Linked DNA regions of Coturnix japonica. The protein of the gene in region 4 purifies or fractionates together with the protein of the main gene of each other region. This does not show direct contact. Links are inferred from orthologs where the notes say so. Each region holds a gene or a part of one and is shown on either strand. Other genes may lie near its edges.

Region 1 (4,478 bases), on a different chromosome or scaffold from region 4:
CCTGCCCGCTCACTGCACAGCACTGCTGCAGGCGTGGGGACCAACCCTTGCAGGGACAGCTGGGTCACTGCTGCAGTCACACACACTCCCCACAGTCGGAGATTATCACCTTCTGCTTTGGCTTCCCATCCTTGGTGCCCTGAGCCTGCAGAAGGGGAATGAAGGCTTAAAGATGGTGGTGGGGGGTGGGCACACACAGCCCCCCTCACCCCAGCACCAACCTCAATCTGCCGCACCACGTCCATGCCCTCTGTCACCTCCCCAAACACCACGTGCTTCCCGTCCAGCCAGTCGGTTTTATCACAAGTGATGAAGAACTGGGAGCCGTTGGTGTTCGGGCCGGCGTTGGCCATGGACAGCAACCCTGGGACCAAACAGGGCAGCATTACTGGGAGCAACGCCAATAATTAACTAACCCCCCCCCCCGGGCTGAGCAGACACTGCTGGCTTTAAGAGAGTCTCTGAATATTGGAACTGCGGGAAGTTGATGATGCCAAGAAACACCTCCGGGTATGAACAGAGTGAAGTGGTAGAGAGCATTAATCTATTTTTAACTGTAGCAACAGCAAAGCTTTGGAGATCAGCCTGCTTGCTTTCTGCCACCTTTCCAATGCTCACAGTTAGACTGCACTGCTCCTGCCATAAAGCCCAACAGAAAAGCAGCTTTGAAATTCTCCATGATATGAGACTGGAAATTAACAGCGTGGGGGTAGAAATAGGGGGCAGCATTTCTGCCCACTGAATGCTGTGGGCACACTGCAGTCTGCTCCAGGTGCTGCACCAACACAGACCGGCCCTGGGGCTGCTGCTGTGTGGTCAGAGCAGCTCGAGGTGCCCCACAAACCCCACCCTACCTGGTCCCGTGTGCTTCAGGATGAAGTTTTCATCATCAAACTTCTTCCCATAGATGGATTTTCCTCCGGTGCCGTTGTGGTTGGTGAAGTCCCCAGCCTGGCACATGAACTGGGGGATGATGCGGTGGAAGCTGCTCCCCTTGAAGCCAAAGCCTTTCTCCTGGGTGCAGAGGCAGCGGAAGTTTTCTGTTCAAGGCAAAGGGCAGAGGTGAGCACAGCACTGCAGCCTGTGGGCCACAGTGACAGCAGCGCTGCTCACCTACAGTCATGGGCACCACGTCGGAGCGCAGCAGGATCTTGAGCCGCCCTGCAGGTTTGTTGCCAATCTTGATGTCCATGTAAACTTGGGGGTTGGCCCGGGACTTCTTGGCAGGAGGCTCACCCTATGCGAGGAGAAGGTACACTATGCTGCCACTGCTCAGCTCTGCCACCCAATGGCCAGGCTGACCCCAGCCTGCAGCACAGTGCCAGCAGCAGATCCAGCTCCAGAAGTCCCTGGAGGCAGCATGAAGCAACAGGAGGCTTCTCACAGCCTGGGGGCTGCTGCAGGGTGCAGCTGAAACACACGGCTCCCTATGGGCTCACGGAGCTTTTGGGAGCACAGGGACTGACAGGGCCACAGCTCACTCCTGGCTCTCAAAGCTGACAGCACCCAGTTCCCCATGTGGCCATTCCCCATTCCAAGGCACTCAGCAGGACACAACCAGCTCCATCCATCCCTACCTCCTGTGTCTCTGGTTTGGGTGCCTCTGTTCCTCCTTCCTCTGCGTTCTCCTCCAGGGTCTTTCCTGAGAACCTCTTCAGCCACTCATCATCTGACCACACTGCAGCAAGGGAGGGCAGGATGAGAGCAGGGCGCTGAGCCCAGGGCCATACACGACTCTGGACTCAGCACAGCTCCAGAAGCAGCAGGACTGTAACCCAGGGTGCTGCTGGCCCAACCACCCCCAGAACTGCATGTGGTCACCCCACATCATGGGGACACAGGGACAGAGCCAGCAGCTCCCCCAGGTGAGGGGTACCAACTTACCCGGCCGAGACGATCCTTCTTTAATTCGCATTGGTTTGGCCAAGTTCACTCGAATCGTCCGACCAAAGAGCTCAGACTCATTCTACAGAGGACAAAAAAGCACAAAACCCACCACAAGGTAAAAACTCACTGTGTCCCCTCTGCAGAGAACGGGGCTGTTTTTTTTCTGAGCACTACACGCAGTTCAGGAGCTGCACTGAGCCACAGGCAGCACCAACAGCACCAGCAAAGCAGGGCCGGCATCACAGCTCCGGGATCAGCAGGTCTGCAGCGTCACCAGCACAGAAACACCAAGTGTCCGGGCAGGGCTGAGCCCCGGGGACAGGGCAGGGCAGGGCTCCAGGACTCTGTGATTGTGTGACTCGTACCATGTTGTCAATGGCCGCAGCCGCATCCTGCGTGAAGAGCGACAGGCTCCGTTACACACACGGCGCCCTCTGCCTCTAAAGGCCCCAATGCCCCAACGGGAGACACTCACACCCCGACCCCCACCCCCTCACCTCCGCCAGCTCGAACTCCACGAAGGCGAATCCGCGGTGCTTCTCTGCCAGCAAACAGCCCGGTCACAGCCCGGTCACAGCAGTTACAGCCCGGTCACAGCCCGGTTACACCGGTTACAGCCCGGTTACAGGCCGGTCACATCCCGGTCCCCGCCCCGCCACGCACCGGTCTCGTAGTCCAGCGGGATCTGGATGTCGGTGATGTCGCCGAACGGGATGAAGGCGGCGTGCAGCACCTTCTCGTCCACCTCCTCCGCCAGCCCGCCTGCGGCACACAGCGTTACGGACACACAGCGTTACGGACACACAGCGTTACGGACACACAGCGTTACGGACACACAGCGTTACGGACACACAGCATTATGGCCCACAACACCGTTACGGCCCCTCTCGCCTCCCCGCCGCCCGCCCCACTCACCCACGTACAGCACCCTCTTGGTGGCCGCCATCTTGCCGCCCCACCCCGGAAGTTCGGGCATATCCCGCCCTTCCGCCCAGCGCCGCCCCGGCAGCGCCCCCTGGCGGCGGGGAGGGACGAACCCCCGAACCAGCCCAAAGTGACAAAACTAAAGAGAAACGTGACAAACGCTGAGAAAGTTTTTATTCCTCCATTGCCAAACGATTTTCCAGAACTCTCCAACATGGGCCGTTAAAACCAAAACCACAAAATGCTTTTGTCAACCAGAAACCTTCAAAGTCCTGCATAGAAAAGACTTAAACTCTGCTCACAAAGGAAAAGCTCACAGACTCCATCCAGGCTTTGGGCAGCCAGAGTCGCTCGGTGAGATCCCAAGGGTTAATTACAAAATGCAATAGAACTACGTGATACGGCGCGTGGCATCGAGTCCTGCAGGGCTGCAGCCTCCTCCAGCCGCTGGCTGTGACAGGGGCTGTGACAGGGGCTGTGACAGGGGCTGTTTGGCTTCATTGCATCCTGCAGGGAAAGGAGGAAGATGTTCTGAAGAACTGGCTCCACTCAGACAAGCTCCCACACCAACAACGCCCAGTAACTGCCTGGTTTTATTTACCAAACCTGGAAGCTTTGAATTGAAGCTGAGCACTGAGACACTCACCTGCCCTCCTGGCTTAAGAGGTAGCAGCAACCACACCCACCTTCTGGGCAGCTTCTTTCTTGGCTTGGTGAGCCTGCAGCACTGCAACAGCCTCCTCCACCTGCGGGCAAGAAGATGAGCCAGTAAGAATTCTCTCCCAACCAAAGGGACACACAGTTTGGCCTACAAGGGAACGGGCCGGCTTTACCTTTGAGCGGAGGGACTCTGGAGACTCCAACATGTGCAGCAGCTCCGAGTTGTCAATCTCCAGCAGCATTCCTGTGATCTTCCCTGCAAGGCTGGGGTGCATAGCTTGAATAAGAGGGAACAAACGTTCTCCTAGAAAAAAAAAAAAGGATTTCAGACAGCAGTTTTAATTTAGAAGCTGTCAATGAAACCTCAGGACATTCCCAAAGTAAAATGCAATCTGGAAGAACCTGAGTTTCACTTACCCAGCATCTGTTTCTGCTCCTGGGGAGGGGCAGCAGCCAGCATGGAGGCTGTTAGTGGCTCCTGTCCCTGCACGTGTACTGCAGGCTGAGGTGCCTATAGAAGGGCAGACAGGAGGATGCAAAAATAGATGCTGTGCTGTTTCTGCAAAAACTCTTCAGCTGCATGTCAAACCTGTTGGCCTGCAGCTGCTTCAGGCACAGATCCTTGTGTTACCTGCAAAGGCTGTACAGGTGGGTGTGGGCTGCGGACACTTGAGGCATATTTATAAGGGGGAACTGCTCTGGGAGCAGGAGCAGCCACAGGTGGACGAGGAGCCAAGTTCTGTCCTGCAGTGGTAACACCTGCAAGAGAAGAGAGCAGGATCAAAACCACCATAGGAATGTGCAGCAAGTAACCTGAGGTATCTTAATTACTGCTAAATTCAAACTATGCTCTGCACAGGCCAATATTTGCTTAGGAACTGGTCTCCAAATTACAACTGGATATTCCAGAAAAGAATTATTCTACATTCTGCATTTAAGGTATTTTCTAGTTACTCCCTAACATAAAATTTGAATGCCTCAAGAACAAAACCCATAACCTACAGTCT
Region 2 (3,977 bases), on a different chromosome or scaffold from region 4:
TAATGTCGTATTATTCCTAGCTTGTTTTCTAATCGCCTTAACTATACACATGCAGAAATTGACTCCTTCCTGTCCTCCAAATGTTTGTCATACTGCAGGTCTACAAGTGAGAACTTGAATTTAAAGTGTGATGAGGGTTTTGTTGGGATGCAAACATCAGAAATTGAGGAACAATCAACATCCAAAACAATTAATGAAAGCATAATAGCTGTTTTTCTTTTGCAGTTTTTGTTTTTTTTTGTTTGTTTGTTTTGTTTTTTTTGTTTGTTTGGTTTTAGTTTTTTTCCCCTTACCTACTAATAACATAAATATAAAACACTTACCCGCTTTGTTCATCTCTACAAATGTAACCCATTCCAAAGTAATATGAAATCCACTTCCTTTTGTGTCCAATTCATCTTTTTCTACCCTGAGCAGTAGCACAGCTATTGAATGTTTATCAGATTTTACAAATGAAACACTGTGTACTATAACGAATGGACTGCCTAGTTCTTCACTAAACACAGTCTGGAAGGCAAAATGGTAGAAAAAGGTTAGTCAGTTAAAACTCAAAAATTAGTGAAAGCTTCAGAGAACATTAAATCAATTAATTAAATATGCTCGCCACAAATCACATTAACTTTTGGTTAGCCCTGAAGTGGTCACACAGTTGGTGTGTGACCTGAAGTTCTCTTCTAGCAGAACTATTCTATGTATTTCTAGCAGTTCCTTCCTTAGCTATCAAGAAAGTGTCCTTTTTATTACTGTTTATATGATAGAATCATTAAAATGGTCCACTAGATCAAGCACAAAACTCTACAAAAATATCTGCACTACAGAACAGGGTAACTGGCTTCCTTTTGACTGAACTTTCAAATTGTACAGGGGAAGGAGTTATTCCACCATGTAGAAATCCTCCACTTCCAGGTATATGTTTGACTTCCTGCCAATATTAAAAGCTCCTTGGCTGTGTATAAAACTATCCTCTAATTAAAAAGTTGCATGAAAAATGTGGTACTTTAATATCAAATTCATCCTTCAGAAATAAAGAGAAACAACAGACCAAAACTTATAGCAGCTGAAGCAGAAATGTACCATAACTACATTTGTTTTGTAGAACTAATAGCATTATTGCTATGGAAACACCACTGCTCCGTGGATATCAGAAACGCTCCTTCTCAAGATGGTTTAAAGTAAGTGATTTTGTAACCTATTTAATGAGAAACGTGCTTCAGTTACAACCACAAAGTTAAATAAAAAATACTAAGCACCAATAATTCTCCAGAGCTAAGTGTACAGCATGAAAAATTTCTCTCCCAGAGAGGTGGAAATATTACAATTTAGATTATACCTACTCTGCATAAAGCCCTCGGGGCTACTTATAAAAGGTTTTTAATCATCAGTTTTCTTTAATTTTTATTTTATTCACCATGGACACACTTTTAAGACAGGTCAAATTAAAATGATGAACATTTCAAATGCAATTACATCAGCACAAGTGATCTAGAAACCCTCTAACAAAATGAAAAGTAGCATTTAGCTTGACAATAATTTCAGGCATTTTAAAACGTACTTATTATTCCATGGGTCAGAAGAAATAATGTGATAGTGGAAGGAAAACTTAGGCTGACCCATAAGAATAGAGAAGGGAAAGGGAAAATGGTTCTTATTATAAGTTCAGCTTGACAGGTGTGCAGTCACCTATTTAGAAACACTCGCTCTCTTCAGACAGATTCTTTTCCCGTAAAAAGGCTGTTTGCTGTTTCCATTCAACCATTTGAATTTTACAGATTTTTTTCTTTCACTTCAAGAAATAATTCACATGATCTTTATGTTTGGACACAGCCCAATATCAACCACAGAGTTAAGATTGAAAGCTTCGTTTTTCATAACATTATATGCATGCAATTCTCCTATTAAGTGCAGGAGTAAGAATTATTTGGTAAATATACAATTCTTAATGTGCTATTTTAAGACTTACCTCCCATTTTTCCGATGCACTGTTTCCACGCTTGCCTGACTTAATTAAATATAGTCTTCCTGTTCCATCAGAAATGGTAACCCATGTGGAAGATGAGAAGTACATTGAGGCACAAAGGCGATCATCATAAGCTGTCAAATCTGTAGGTAGCCTGAAAACTTCTCTTGGTTTTTGGAGAGCAGTGTCCTGTAAGCAGAGTCACTTTATGAAGTACTAATCAATTTCAGCATTGCAGAAAAATGAACAACAAACTTCAACAGCAATTCACCAGTCAGCTCATGTAATTGAGCCTATTAGGAAAAATGTAGGTAGCCAAGCATCACTTCCACATATGAGGAAGAGGTGGTAGAATTTCAGTATTCAGTCTGTTTACTGAAAACTTAAGTGTTTTATAATTGGTATTTCAACACCATTTTTTTCCCTTCAAATTCACAGCACTAATTTACATTTTGCATTTAAAAGTTTTTTACTTCTTTTTTCCTAACATTCCCATAGAATTTATCACTCACCTCACAGTTTTAATCCCACTAAGAACCTGGAGACCTTAAATGAAATAAAAGCCATAGAAATGTACAAAAAAAAGTTAATTTACACTGACTTCTAAACTAAAACAAACTTTAACCCTCTTTCTTACTCAACTTGTGCACACATATACAACACAGAAAGACCACATTCGTGCATACAAGCATGACATAGACTTGAGACTATCGTATTAGAGACGATTTCAAATCTATCGTATTTTCCAAATGGTATTAAAATCAGATATGCATCTAGAACATGTTCAAAGTAAGGCAAGCTAAACTGGATTTGGGTAAGTACCATTTTAATAAGCATCACTGAAAAAGACCAGATGACAAACAGATAGCCTGACTGTCTTCTGGATCTACTTGAATTTGTATTAGAGATTACTTTTCTCTACGACTCTGAAATCTGCAATAGAAAAGATGCAAATTAGATTTATAATTTCTAGTAGCATTCAGGATCACTCTGTAGATTCAGTTGCATCACTACAACCCTTCAGTTATTCACCTAATTTAGAACACATTCAGAAAGATTGAATGAAAGAATTATAAACAAAGGAAGAAAAAAAACCACACTCTACACCCAAGCATTTCCGACATCCTCATTTTCTGCTTGAATTTCTTAAGGTTTTACTGAAAGGCAGTATTTTCTGATATTTCTTACCATTCCATGGTAAGAAGTGACTGATGCGAATGGGAAAAAAGAACGAAAATTGCGGAAAGAAAAAGCTTCAGCCCCAGAACTACAAATTACAGGCATATTCTATGCAACACCATAGAAGACCACACTTCTGACAGCCTTCAAGTGAATCATAACAGTAAGCTTCAAATAGTTATTGATGTAATTGTGTTTTAAAGAACTATCAACTGTCGATCATTTAATCTTCTAAAGCCCTCATTACACTTATCAACACTGAAGTGGAGTGACAGGAGTCAACAATTCTGAAAACTTTAATTAAAAAAGTCTTCACATCACAAAGCCTCCCAGCTCAAAGGAAAGAAAGAAAATGCTCTTCTAATCTTCCTTTTGCTGCTCACTAGTATTAAGTAAGTCTGCAGATAACACAAAAATGGGAGGAACTGTCAACACTTGAAAGTAAAGAGAACTTGTAGAGAGCTGCTGACAAATTAGAAGGCTGGGCAATCATCACCTATATGAAGCTGAACAAGAGGAAGTGCCAAATTCTGTGCCTGGAACAGGGCAAACCTGACTTTGTACAGGCTGGGGAATGAGAAGCAGGAGAGCAGCCCCACAGCAAGGGATATGAGAGTTCTGGTTGATTGAAGCTGAATACAAGTCAGCAGTGTGCCCTGGCAGCCAAAAGGACCAACCATGCCCTGGGGTACATCAGGCCCAGCACTGCCAGCCAGGCAAGGGAAGGGATTGTTCCACTCTGCTATGTGCTGGTGTAACAGGCTATAGAGTATTCAAATTAGCTGATAACTATACAATTCTGGACTTCTTTTCATTACTGATAGATGAAAGTATATTTGAT
Region 3 (4,564 bases), on a different chromosome or scaffold from region 4:
GCCACTGAAAGCGTACAGAGCACGTGCTCTTCAGAGCTTTCAGCTACAGCCTGGGAACAGCTTTTCAGCAGGCCAACAAAGGAAGCAGCTTTGGAAAATGTTACTGAAATATTACCATCATAAGAAACATACCTGCTGCCGCTCATCACGTAACCGGAGCTCTCAAACGATGCAATTTCTTCACTGGTCAAGCCAATCTCACCTCTCCGAGGAATGCGTTTTCCTGCTTTTACATACTCTGCCATTGCTGCACCTTCACCCGGCAACAGGGCGTGCCCATAGCTAAAGAAACAGAGAGACAAACAGGAGGGATTTTAATCAGTCTCAACTAGAGTGAGCCTGAGCCAAACATCCAGCTCCCCCAGTCACTACCAGCTACATTTTAAGGACTTCCTTACTATTTCCCAAGTACGTTCCCATTTCATACTTACAGCTAATCTCAGCAAGAACATTTTAAGTAAGCAGTTTAATAAATTCTGGTTAACCAGTAATGAAGGCTGTATGAAGTCACAGCTCTGCAGAGCATTAGAGTAAAGGCACTTTACTGAAGTAAAAACCAATTAATTTTCTACGAACCCAGGCTAAAATGCGTAAAACAGACTTTTCTACTTAAACTCAGGTCAGAGTAAAGACTAGCACCACTACCACTTCTTAGTTTCTGGTACAGCATCCCTCTTGATATAAATCATATTATTTTAGGTCTTTCTGAGCAGAAATCTTTATGCTAGATTTACTTGACTCAATCAAGGTACCATTTAGAGTACTCACTTTAAAGGCCTATCATCTTGAGACGCATGTGTTTTGGGAGCTTCTGGTCCAATCAAGCTATCAGCTTCTGTATTTTCTGCAATGATCAAATAGTGAAGCAGATCAATACTGTGCCTCTTCTTTGTTATCAGAGCAGTCAACAAGGCAGCAAACACTTAAAAAAAAAAAAGCATGAAAAGAACACCAAGAAGTTTCAAGACAAATCTACGGGCACCTACTTGATCTCTCAATCCAGAGATCCTCCCCTTGAACTGTTCCATCATCAGAATCTTCACTGCTGGAATCACTGGATTCCTTCCGGCTCTTTTTATTTTTCTTTTTCTTGTACTTCTTCCTGCAATAACACCCAAGTTATCCACCAGCATTTAAGATAAAAAAACGTGCTAGGAGTCATACTCAAGTTATGAGTTTCTCAAGATACCTTCCACCAAGGACAGTCTGCATTTACATTGCTGTTTGATTGAAAACAACCGATAGTTAAACAAAGACAACACATCCACTGTTATGGCTTTCATACAGCGCTCGAAAGCGGCTCCCTGTGTTTCAAGGATCTCTCTGTGCTCTGGGATTCTGTACATTTGATGCCAGTCAAATTATGATTATCCACCTGCATTTACAGCTCTAATTACAGGAGCGCTCAGCTTCCCTCCGTTCCTGCTAAGACTGCGCTTAAAAGTAGATGCAATTATACTTCACAGCTTGGAAACTTACTTCCTGTGCTTCCTTTTCTTCCTTTTGCTTTTCTTTTTATCTTCATCTGAAAAACAAAAAACAAAAAAAAGGGAAGATTATGCATCATCAAAAAGCATACACTGTGAATTAGTTAATGCCTCCACCAGAACATCTCAATACACAGCTTGGACATCATTTGTTCTCCCTTACCACTGGAGCTCTGGTCGGACTCGGACTCGCTGTCACTGTCCTCAGAATGTTTTCTGTGTTTCCGTTTGGACGCCTTCCGTTTTCTCTTCTTTCGCTTCTTCTTCTTCTTCCTTTTTTCCTCTGGAATGTTTATAAAAGATAACATTAGAAAAAGATGAAGACTTAGTTCCGTGTATACATCTGGAGCATCCCAAAGCAACAGGGCCTATCACACTCACTTCAACCCAAGTCAGTGAACTTCCTGACAGCAACAACAGCAGTTTCTAGGTAGCGACTGGTTATCAAAATGAGCTGTATAAACAAAGCCAAATACCTTCCGAGCTGGAATCCGAAGAGCTGCTCTTGGATTTTGCCTCTTCGTCTTCTACTGGCGTGTGCTCATCAGAACTGAAGAAAAACAAGTTTGCTTTTTAAGATCTATTTTGTAGTATTTAGTAACTGAAGATCAGATGCACACATACACTGAAACACGTGCTTGTGGATTTTGAGCCACTACTTGCAACAGAGCAAACTGTGCAATGGCCAGCGTGCGAGACAGCAACTGTTTTCAGAACCACAGCAGAAAAGGCACCTATCACAGTATAGAATGTATCATAGAATGCCCTGGGTTGAAAAGGACCATAACAATCATCCAGTTTCAACCCCCTGCCATGGGAAATCATGTAATTGCGTCATGTCTTGAGTAACTGATGTGATGGGATTATCTGAATAACGTCTGTTTGCTTATGTTGGTTCAGATGCTTCTGACACAATGAATTGTGGCACCAGAGGACTCATGCGTTATTGTAAATTCCTCTAGAATTGATATCATAAAAAACAGAGTGAGAAGCAAAACTGTGCCTTACTCAGGGTCAGGAACCTTTGGCGAAAGCCCCCAGACTTCAGGTGCTCCCAGCTCTCCGATTCTCTCCCTCTCATTGAGTCTCCTGGAATGAAGCACACCGTTACTGGACGCTGACACGTCGCACCCAGCGAGCAGCTGCTTGCGGGCATGTCCCACTGCCCATAACAGCGTGAGAACGGGACTTCAATAACAACCTCAGCCCAACCCACGCCCGCAGGCCGAGCGGGCAGAGTCCAGCCCGGCACCCAGAGGCTCGTGCAGCGCCGGCGGCTCCCAGCCTCAAGCAGGGAGAGCCCGCAGACCCGCCCGTTGCCCGTTCCCCGTTCCCGCGTTGGTACTGGCCTCTGCCGCAGGATCTCCTCCTTCTCCTTCTCGTAGTACTCGGGCCAGGCCTTGCCGTGGTGGTGCCCGTGGTGCGCGGAGGCTCGAGTCCCGCCGGGGCTGCGCTCCCGGGATCGGGACCAGCTGCGGCTCCGCCGGTGGCAGCCGCGCCGCGATCCGTTACGGGACCGGGAGCGGGACCGGGAGCGGGAGCGGCGGCCGCGGCGCTCGGGGCTGGCGGCGGCCGGGCTGCGGGAGCGCGACACCGGCGCCATGATGGCGCGGCGGCATTTCCGGGCGGCCTGACGGCACTTCCGACGGCCGCCGGGCCGCGCTGCGCTGCTCGGACGGGGGCGGGAGGCGGCGGCGACGGGGCGCGGGGCGGAAGCGGGGCAGCCCCGCCCGCGGGGCGCAGTGCCCCACCGGCCGTGCGGAAACACGGCGACACGGCGGCGGGGCCGCTCCTTTGTCACCGCCCGGCACCATGGAGGCGCGGGCACAGCCGCGGCCAGGTAAGGCGGCGCGGGCGGACGGCGCACCGGGAGCGGCCTGCAGCCGGGAGCGGCCGGGGGACGGCGGTGCGGGGCCGGGTGAGCACCGAGCGAGGGGGAGCGCTCGCCGGGCCGCGATCCCCGGTGCCCGATGCCCGGTGCCGGCCGGCACATCAGCCCGCGCTGCTCTCGCGGCCATCCCGGCTCGGTCCGGCCCCGCCGCTGTCAGAGCGGCTGTCAGCGCAGCCCGGCCCCGCTCCCGCACACCGGCTGCCGCCCCAGGTTTCACGGGCCCGCTGCCGCCATGCTGCGGCTGTGGGAGCGCGGGGCACATACACGGCTCTTATTTACACGGTTCTTACTTACACGGCTCTTATTTACACGGCTGTTCTTTACACGGCTGTTATTTACACGGCTGTTTTTTACGCCTGCTGTGGGCAGGGTGATGTGGATGAGGCAGGTGGAAGCTGCAGTGCCTGTCACTCTGCCAGCTGAATCCGTACTGCCTCAAATGCTCGTTCCGTGCTTCCCATCTCGGGAGGATCCCGGAACGCAGCCCTGCCCCCTCCACCCGGCCCTGCATCCCCACACGGCACACAAGGTTACGACACCGACAGGCAGAGCTGGTTGCTGCTAACCCACATTGCTGGTGCTGGGCCCCGTCCCTGCAGCCATTAAAGGCACCCAGAGGTGCAGCCGGGGCTCTGCCATCGTGGGTGCAGCCCCAGCTCAACGTGGTGCCCAGCGCTGAGGCGGCTCCTTTTGGATCATTTCCATGCATCAAAATACAGTTGCTTTGTGTTCTTACCCACTGAACACCACCTCTTGTTGTGTGCTCTACACGTCCACATCTTAGAAAAACATGCTTCATTTAACTTGTCACTGTATACGTTTGTATGCTTGTTCAATCCCCAAACACTTTGGAGGCTGATCTGCAAGAGGCCTTGCAAGGCCGAATGGTAAAGCAGTTCACAGCTTGGTTTTGGGAACCCCAGAGCACTGCTCCTTCCAAACCAGTGCTTGTCTTTAGCTGTAGGTTCTCCTGTGAGTTCCTGCAAAGTCTGTAGGATCAAACAGATCAGGAACCGCAGATAAAACGTGCCATGAGCTCGGGTTCTCTGTGAGAACACTGCAGAGCACTCACACACACTGTGTCCAGGAGACTGCCCGGTGTGTGCCCGCACATGGCTGTCGCACACGCTCCAATGCAGGGTACGGGGTGGGCAGAGCCGGGCAGCGGGAGCGCAGCGTCAATGCC
Region 4 (4,408 bases):
AAACGTAAACTGTAAACATCTTAGCATCCCATAATTTCTACACTAGGCACCACACAATGGATTCCACATCCTGTGTGATGTGACAATTCCATACCTTCATGCTCAGGCTCGTTTTGGATCCAGTAAAGGATAACACTTTGACCTTCACTCTTTGTCCTTTGCTCACAACATCAGCAACATTGGCAACACGTCCTTCTCTTCGAAGCTCAGAGATGTGGACCAAGCCCTCCCAACGCTTCCTGTAGGTAAAACATGAGACATTGAACATTATTACTCAGATGGTCTTTCAGATCATTCAGAGTCTGGATTAAAATATTTTGTTGTGAGCTGATTGTCTGTGGATGTTCACTGTTCTTTGTAAAAATAGTTAACAGTCTCTACTGTAGCATCATAACCTCTTTAAGACCCCAACAGAAAAAAGTAGAGATAAAATGGTACCAGATTTATTGTAAATATTATAACATACCTCAGTCCTTCCAGCTGCACGAAGCACCCAAACTGCATTATACTGGTGACTTTCCCATTGTAAATGTCTCCAATGGAAGGCTCCTCAGGTGGCGGACGGTCTACGTGCTTGTCTCTCCATCTCTCATTGCTCTTCTCAATATACTTGTCTCGATCCCTACGGTCCCTACTTCGACTCCTGCTCCTCGAGTAGTATCTGGATTTACCTCTGTTCCTATCCCGAGTCCTGGAACGAGACCTAGAGCGAGATCTGTGCCTTCGTTTCCTGTCCCTGCTCCTGCTTCGGCTTCTTTTCTTTTTCTTTGCCCTTAACAAACAAACAAAATATATTAACACTGAAATTCGACAAGAGCAAGTAGACATTAACTGCCAATATCCAGTCCCTTAAAAATGAACTAATAACATACCGGTGGTCACTGCTCCTTTGTTTGCTTTGCTTGTCTGCACTAGGCATCAGAGCTTCAAGTTCTTTAAGTGCATCTGCTGCCACTTTCACATCATCTTCATCCAGCATAGTCTGCAAAAACAGAGAATCATCCTATAAGACAGCTGAGATAAAAATCCATCACAGAGAATTCACCTACAAAAAATCATCTCATGCATTTCTATTCAGAAACACAAACTTAAAAGAAAAGATCAGGCAGAATACATGATAAGAACAAATATTAAATGTAATAAAGCTATTTTGCCACATTAGTGGACCAATTCTGCTTCTACATAAAGGATCCCTTCAACCCAGCACCTCAAATTACTATTGAGTTACAGAATATAAGTTTGTAGAAGTAACTATTGGTAACAGTTATTCCTAAGGATTACATCCAATAATATCAGCCTTTGGGCTCATTGATGTTTTAATTCTCAGTCTGCTCTTATCCACGCTTTGGCTGGAGATATAAATGCTAACGTGAAGAAAAACCTGAAATAGAGACACCAAAAGAGCCACAAACTACATTTTCACACACTCATTAAAGGAAACTGAAATGATGACCTTACCCTAACGTTGGGATTGTCTGGCCTGCAAAGGGCTGGAAATAATTCCTTCAATCTTTCCTTTTCCGATTTGGGTTTGGTAACGGCCTCTGATTTGGAGATGAACAAAACAAACAGATAGTTTGTAAGAGTCAAAATGATTTCATCTCAGCCTTTCTGAAATTGAATGTTAAACTTTCAGCCACATATAGAGGTTAATACGGATCTTATTATTTTAGAATATTAAATATATTGCCCTCAGCAAACACAAGACACAAACTGCAAAGGATTCGAGAGCACAGTTTGGTTGGGTTTGTTTCTTTTTAACTGAACTGATGGAAGGGAAAAGAAAAGACTTCACTCACCTTTACTCGCAGATGGTTTTGATGGAGGCCGCATCGTTTGTATGAGACGCAACAAGTTGCTGATAAGGGAATCCTGCAAACAGAATAGAAGGTTTAAGATGTAAGAGGTGATAGCATCACTTTTGGTCATTATTACAAAGCACAATATGGGGGTAAACAACAGGGCAAAGATTGAAAGGCTGAATATTGCATAGCCCTGCAGTATAGCCAATCCCTATATCTCCCTTTGATAAAGGAACACACAGAACACATTCAGATCTCACTTACTGTGAACTCAGCCCCATTCTTTAGCAGAACGGCTTTAAACGTGTCAAACGTCGTGTTTTTCTCGGCGAGGCTGATCACAAATTCGGCTACAAAGAAAGAGCACAAAGTGAATCAAATAGCACAAGGGCACAGAATCACACAGAATCACAGAATGACCCGGGTTGGAAGGGACCTCAAGGATCATGTAGTTCCAACCCCCCTGCCTGGCAGGGCCACCAAACATACACATTTACTAGATCAGGTTGCCCAGGAGACCCCATAGATCCCCATAGAGACCCCATAGATCCCCATAGACCCCATGGACCCCATAGATCCCCATAGAGACCCCATGGACCCCATAGATCCCCACAGAGACCCCATAGATCCCATAGATCAGGTTGCCCAGGGCCCTGTCCAACCTGGTCTCGAACACCTCCAAGGTGTTCAAGGGCAGCACCCAGATCGATCCATCTACCTACAGAACAGCAGCATCCCCTTCTAGGCGCTCACATCTAAACGTTTTATAATATTTCTTTTAGAGATATATTTTATTCTTCTCAATTCCAAAGGCCTTTCGTTGAAGGCATCATGGCCGTCAGGCCCGGTTACAACCTCCCCACAGCTATCACCCCACCTCACTCACCCAGATCCTTATCGTTGATACCCAGGTGGTTGTCAAGCTCGGTGCAGACCTTAGAGACCAGCGATAAATACTCGAGCTTGGCGAGCTCCTCTAAAGCCGCCAGGTCCGCCATCTTTCCCCCACCCCCACCCCACACACCAGGAGCCACTTCCGCATCCGGGAAGCACCGGAAGTCAAGCTGATCATAGAGAGGATAGAGAGCTAGAGCGGCTCTGTCCGGATCCAATCAGCGCTGGGGGGTGCCGGAAGTGGCCGTTGCTAGGCGACGCTTGCCGCCGCCATGTCGGCCTTGCACTGGGAGGCGAGGCGAAGGCAGGCCGCGCTGGAGCGGCGCAGGGCCGCGTTAATACGGGTGTGTGTAGAGCGAGGGAAGGGCTGGGGAACGGAGCTAGGGCGGCTCTTATAGCCCCATATGTACTTTGCAGTCCGCGGGCTGCTCTAGAATGGATACGAGGCACGGTATTGATAACAGCCCGACGCAGGCATTGCCTCCCGGTGAGCAGAAAGCGGCCCTGGGGTTAAAGGAAGGGCTGAGAGCCGGGCTGGGCTCTACTCAGCTCTACCTTGTTCCTATTATAGAGCCTCAGCCGTATCGTTGCTGCTGCCCGAGTCATCAAGCGTCCAACCCAAGTGCCAGGCTGCCCAATCGCTTCACGGTAAGGAGCTGCCTCAAAGAGCTGAGATCCATCTGTTTAGAAGCCAAAGTAATTTCCCTTTGCATCTATAGGCTATTCAGTACATGCAGCAATGGTGAGGACCACAGACCACAACAAGCAGAGCAAAGCACCGCCTGTGTACAGCACAAGGAGCCATGTCAGCTAAAGCTAAGAGCTAAATAAAATAGCACTGCGCCTCAATGTCAATGGTCTGTGTTAAGCATTAAGCTCCTTCCTCTGCCTGGGCCTGCCCGGCTCTGGGGTTGCAGGCCCAGAGGCTCATTGCTATCAGCGAGCTAAACAACCAATAGGAAGCAGCCTTGCTCAGCATGTGGTACCGCCGCGAAGCTCGCTGGGAGTTGTGTCCTACCCTGTAACTACAATAACAACGAAGAACTACAAGTCCCAGAATGCCTCGTGGAAAGCGCGGGCCAATAGGGAGAGGGCGTGTTGAGGTTGCACGCATGCGCGGTAGGGTGGGAGGCCGAGGATTCATGTGGAGGTCAGGGGAGCTGCGGGAGGAGAGTGGGGTGGGAGGGGGCGGAGGGTCTTGGGGTATTGGAGCTGAGCTGGGGGCTGAGGGTACGAACGAGGCCTTCACCCGCCAGGTCTGTGTCCTGAGAGTCAGAGGCCTCGGGAAACGTGGGTGGGAGGAGGGAGGGGGGGAGAATGGGGAATTAAAGGGGGTTCGAGGTGTGGGGTTCCTCGAGGGGTTTTGGGGGGGGGGAAGGGGGGGATGTGGGGTCTTGGGTTCAGAGTCCAAGGTGATAAGGGGGGGGGGAGTGGAGAGGCCTGTATGGCTGCTGAGGGGCAAAGAAATTGCTATTATAATGAATGATCCCATTTCATGGTGGGCTTTTTGGATTGGGGTTCCATCCCAGCTCTAGGTACACACTAGGGCTGCCTGGTTTTCTCGTTTCCTATAGTTTTACCGAAGTTATGGGATTTTTTTTTTGCAGGAGGTTCATCATAAAGGGGTTAGAACAGCACGTGAGAAATGGCTGCCAAAGTGTTTGAGAGCATTGGGAAGTTCGGCCTGGGGTTGGCTGTTGCAGGTGGAGTCG

The links.
Region 1: the proteins of DHX8 (region 4) and PPIE purify together in Homo sapiens (affinity purification with mass spectrometry; 3 studies listed by BioGRID and IntAct, counting the BioPlex papers as one, with this or other methods). This does not show direct contact. The link is inferred for Coturnix japonica from reciprocal best matches to the Homo sapiens genes DHX8 and PPIE.
Region 2: the proteins of DHX8 (region 4) and NUDCD1 purify together in Homo sapiens (affinity purification with mass spectrometry; 3 studies listed by BioGRID and IntAct, counting the BioPlex papers as one, with this or other methods). This does not show direct contact. The link is inferred for Coturnix japonica from reciprocal best matches to the Homo sapiens genes DHX8 and NUDCD1.
Region 3: the proteins of DHX8 (region 4) and NKAP purify together in Homo sapiens (co-immunoprecipitation; 3 studies listed by BioGRID and IntAct, with this or other methods). This does not show direct contact. The link is inferred for Coturnix japonica from reciprocal best matches to the Homo sapiens genes DHX8 and NKAP.

The regions. Positions count from the first base shown.
Region 1 is NC_029538.1:4,803,473-4,807,950, forward strand, and holds the start of PPIE (peptidyl-prolyl cis-trans isomerase E), read right to left. Parts: upstream 3,056-4,478; 5' UTR 3,028-3,055; coding exon 2,803-3,027; intron 2,650-2,802; coding exon 2,551-2,649; intron 2,429-2,550; coding exon of another isoform or gene 2,385-2,428; intron 2,280-2,384; coding exon of another isoform or gene 2,253-2,279; intron 1,967-2,252; coding exon 1,885-1,966; intron 1,679-1,884; coding exon 1,578-1,678; intron 1,238-1,577; coding exon 1,114-1,237; intron 1,041-1,113; coding exon 855-1,040; intron 365-854; coding exon 222-364; intron 146-221; coding exon 77-145; 3' UTR 1-76. Other genes in the region: PABPC4 (polyadenylate-binding protein 4), read right to left, coding at 3,471-3,557, 3,645-3,775, 3,889-3,982, 4,103-4,230. UniProt on the Homo sapiens protein: Involved in pre-mRNA splicing as component of the spliceosome. Combines RNA-binding and PPIase activities.
Region 2 is NC_029517.1:119,473,627-119,477,603, forward strand, and holds part of NUDCD1 (nudC domain-containing protein 1), read right to left. Parts: intron 2,147-3,977; coding exon 1,961-2,146; intron 508-1,960; coding exon 324-507; intron 1-323.
Region 3 is NC_029519.1:15,371,299-15,375,862, reverse strand, and holds the start of NKAP (NF-kappa-B-activating protein), read right to left. Parts: upstream 3,106-4,564; 5' UTR 3,091-3,105; coding exon 2,837-3,090; intron 2,577-2,836; coding exon 2,496-2,576; intron 2,038-2,495; coding exon 1,964-2,037; intron 1,771-1,963; coding exon 1,651-1,770; intron 1,526-1,650; coding exon 1,480-1,525; intron 1,103-1,479; coding exon 987-1,102; intron 845-986; coding exon 769-844; intron 283-768; coding exon 133-282; intron 1-132. Other genes in the region: ZBTB33 (transcriptional regulator Kaiso), read left to right, coding at 3,300-3,327. UniProt on the Homo sapiens protein: Acts as a transcriptional repressor. Plays a role as a transcriptional corepressor of the Notch-mediated signaling required for T-cell development. Also involved in the TNF and IL-1 induced NF-kappa-B activation.
Region 4 is NC_029542.1:2,950,046-2,954,453, forward strand, and holds the start of DHX8 (ATP-dependent RNA helicase DHX8), read right to left. Parts: upstream 2,847-4,408; 5' UTR 2,801-2,846; coding exon 2,689-2,800; intron 2,153-2,688; coding exon 2,067-2,152; intron 1,873-2,066; coding exon 1,800-1,872; intron 1,545-1,799; coding exon 1,459-1,544; intron 983-1,458; coding exon 873-982; intron 773-872; coding exon 467-772; intron 240-466; coding exon 95-239; intron 1-94. Other genes in the region: PHB (prohibitin), read left to right, coding at 4,342-4,408.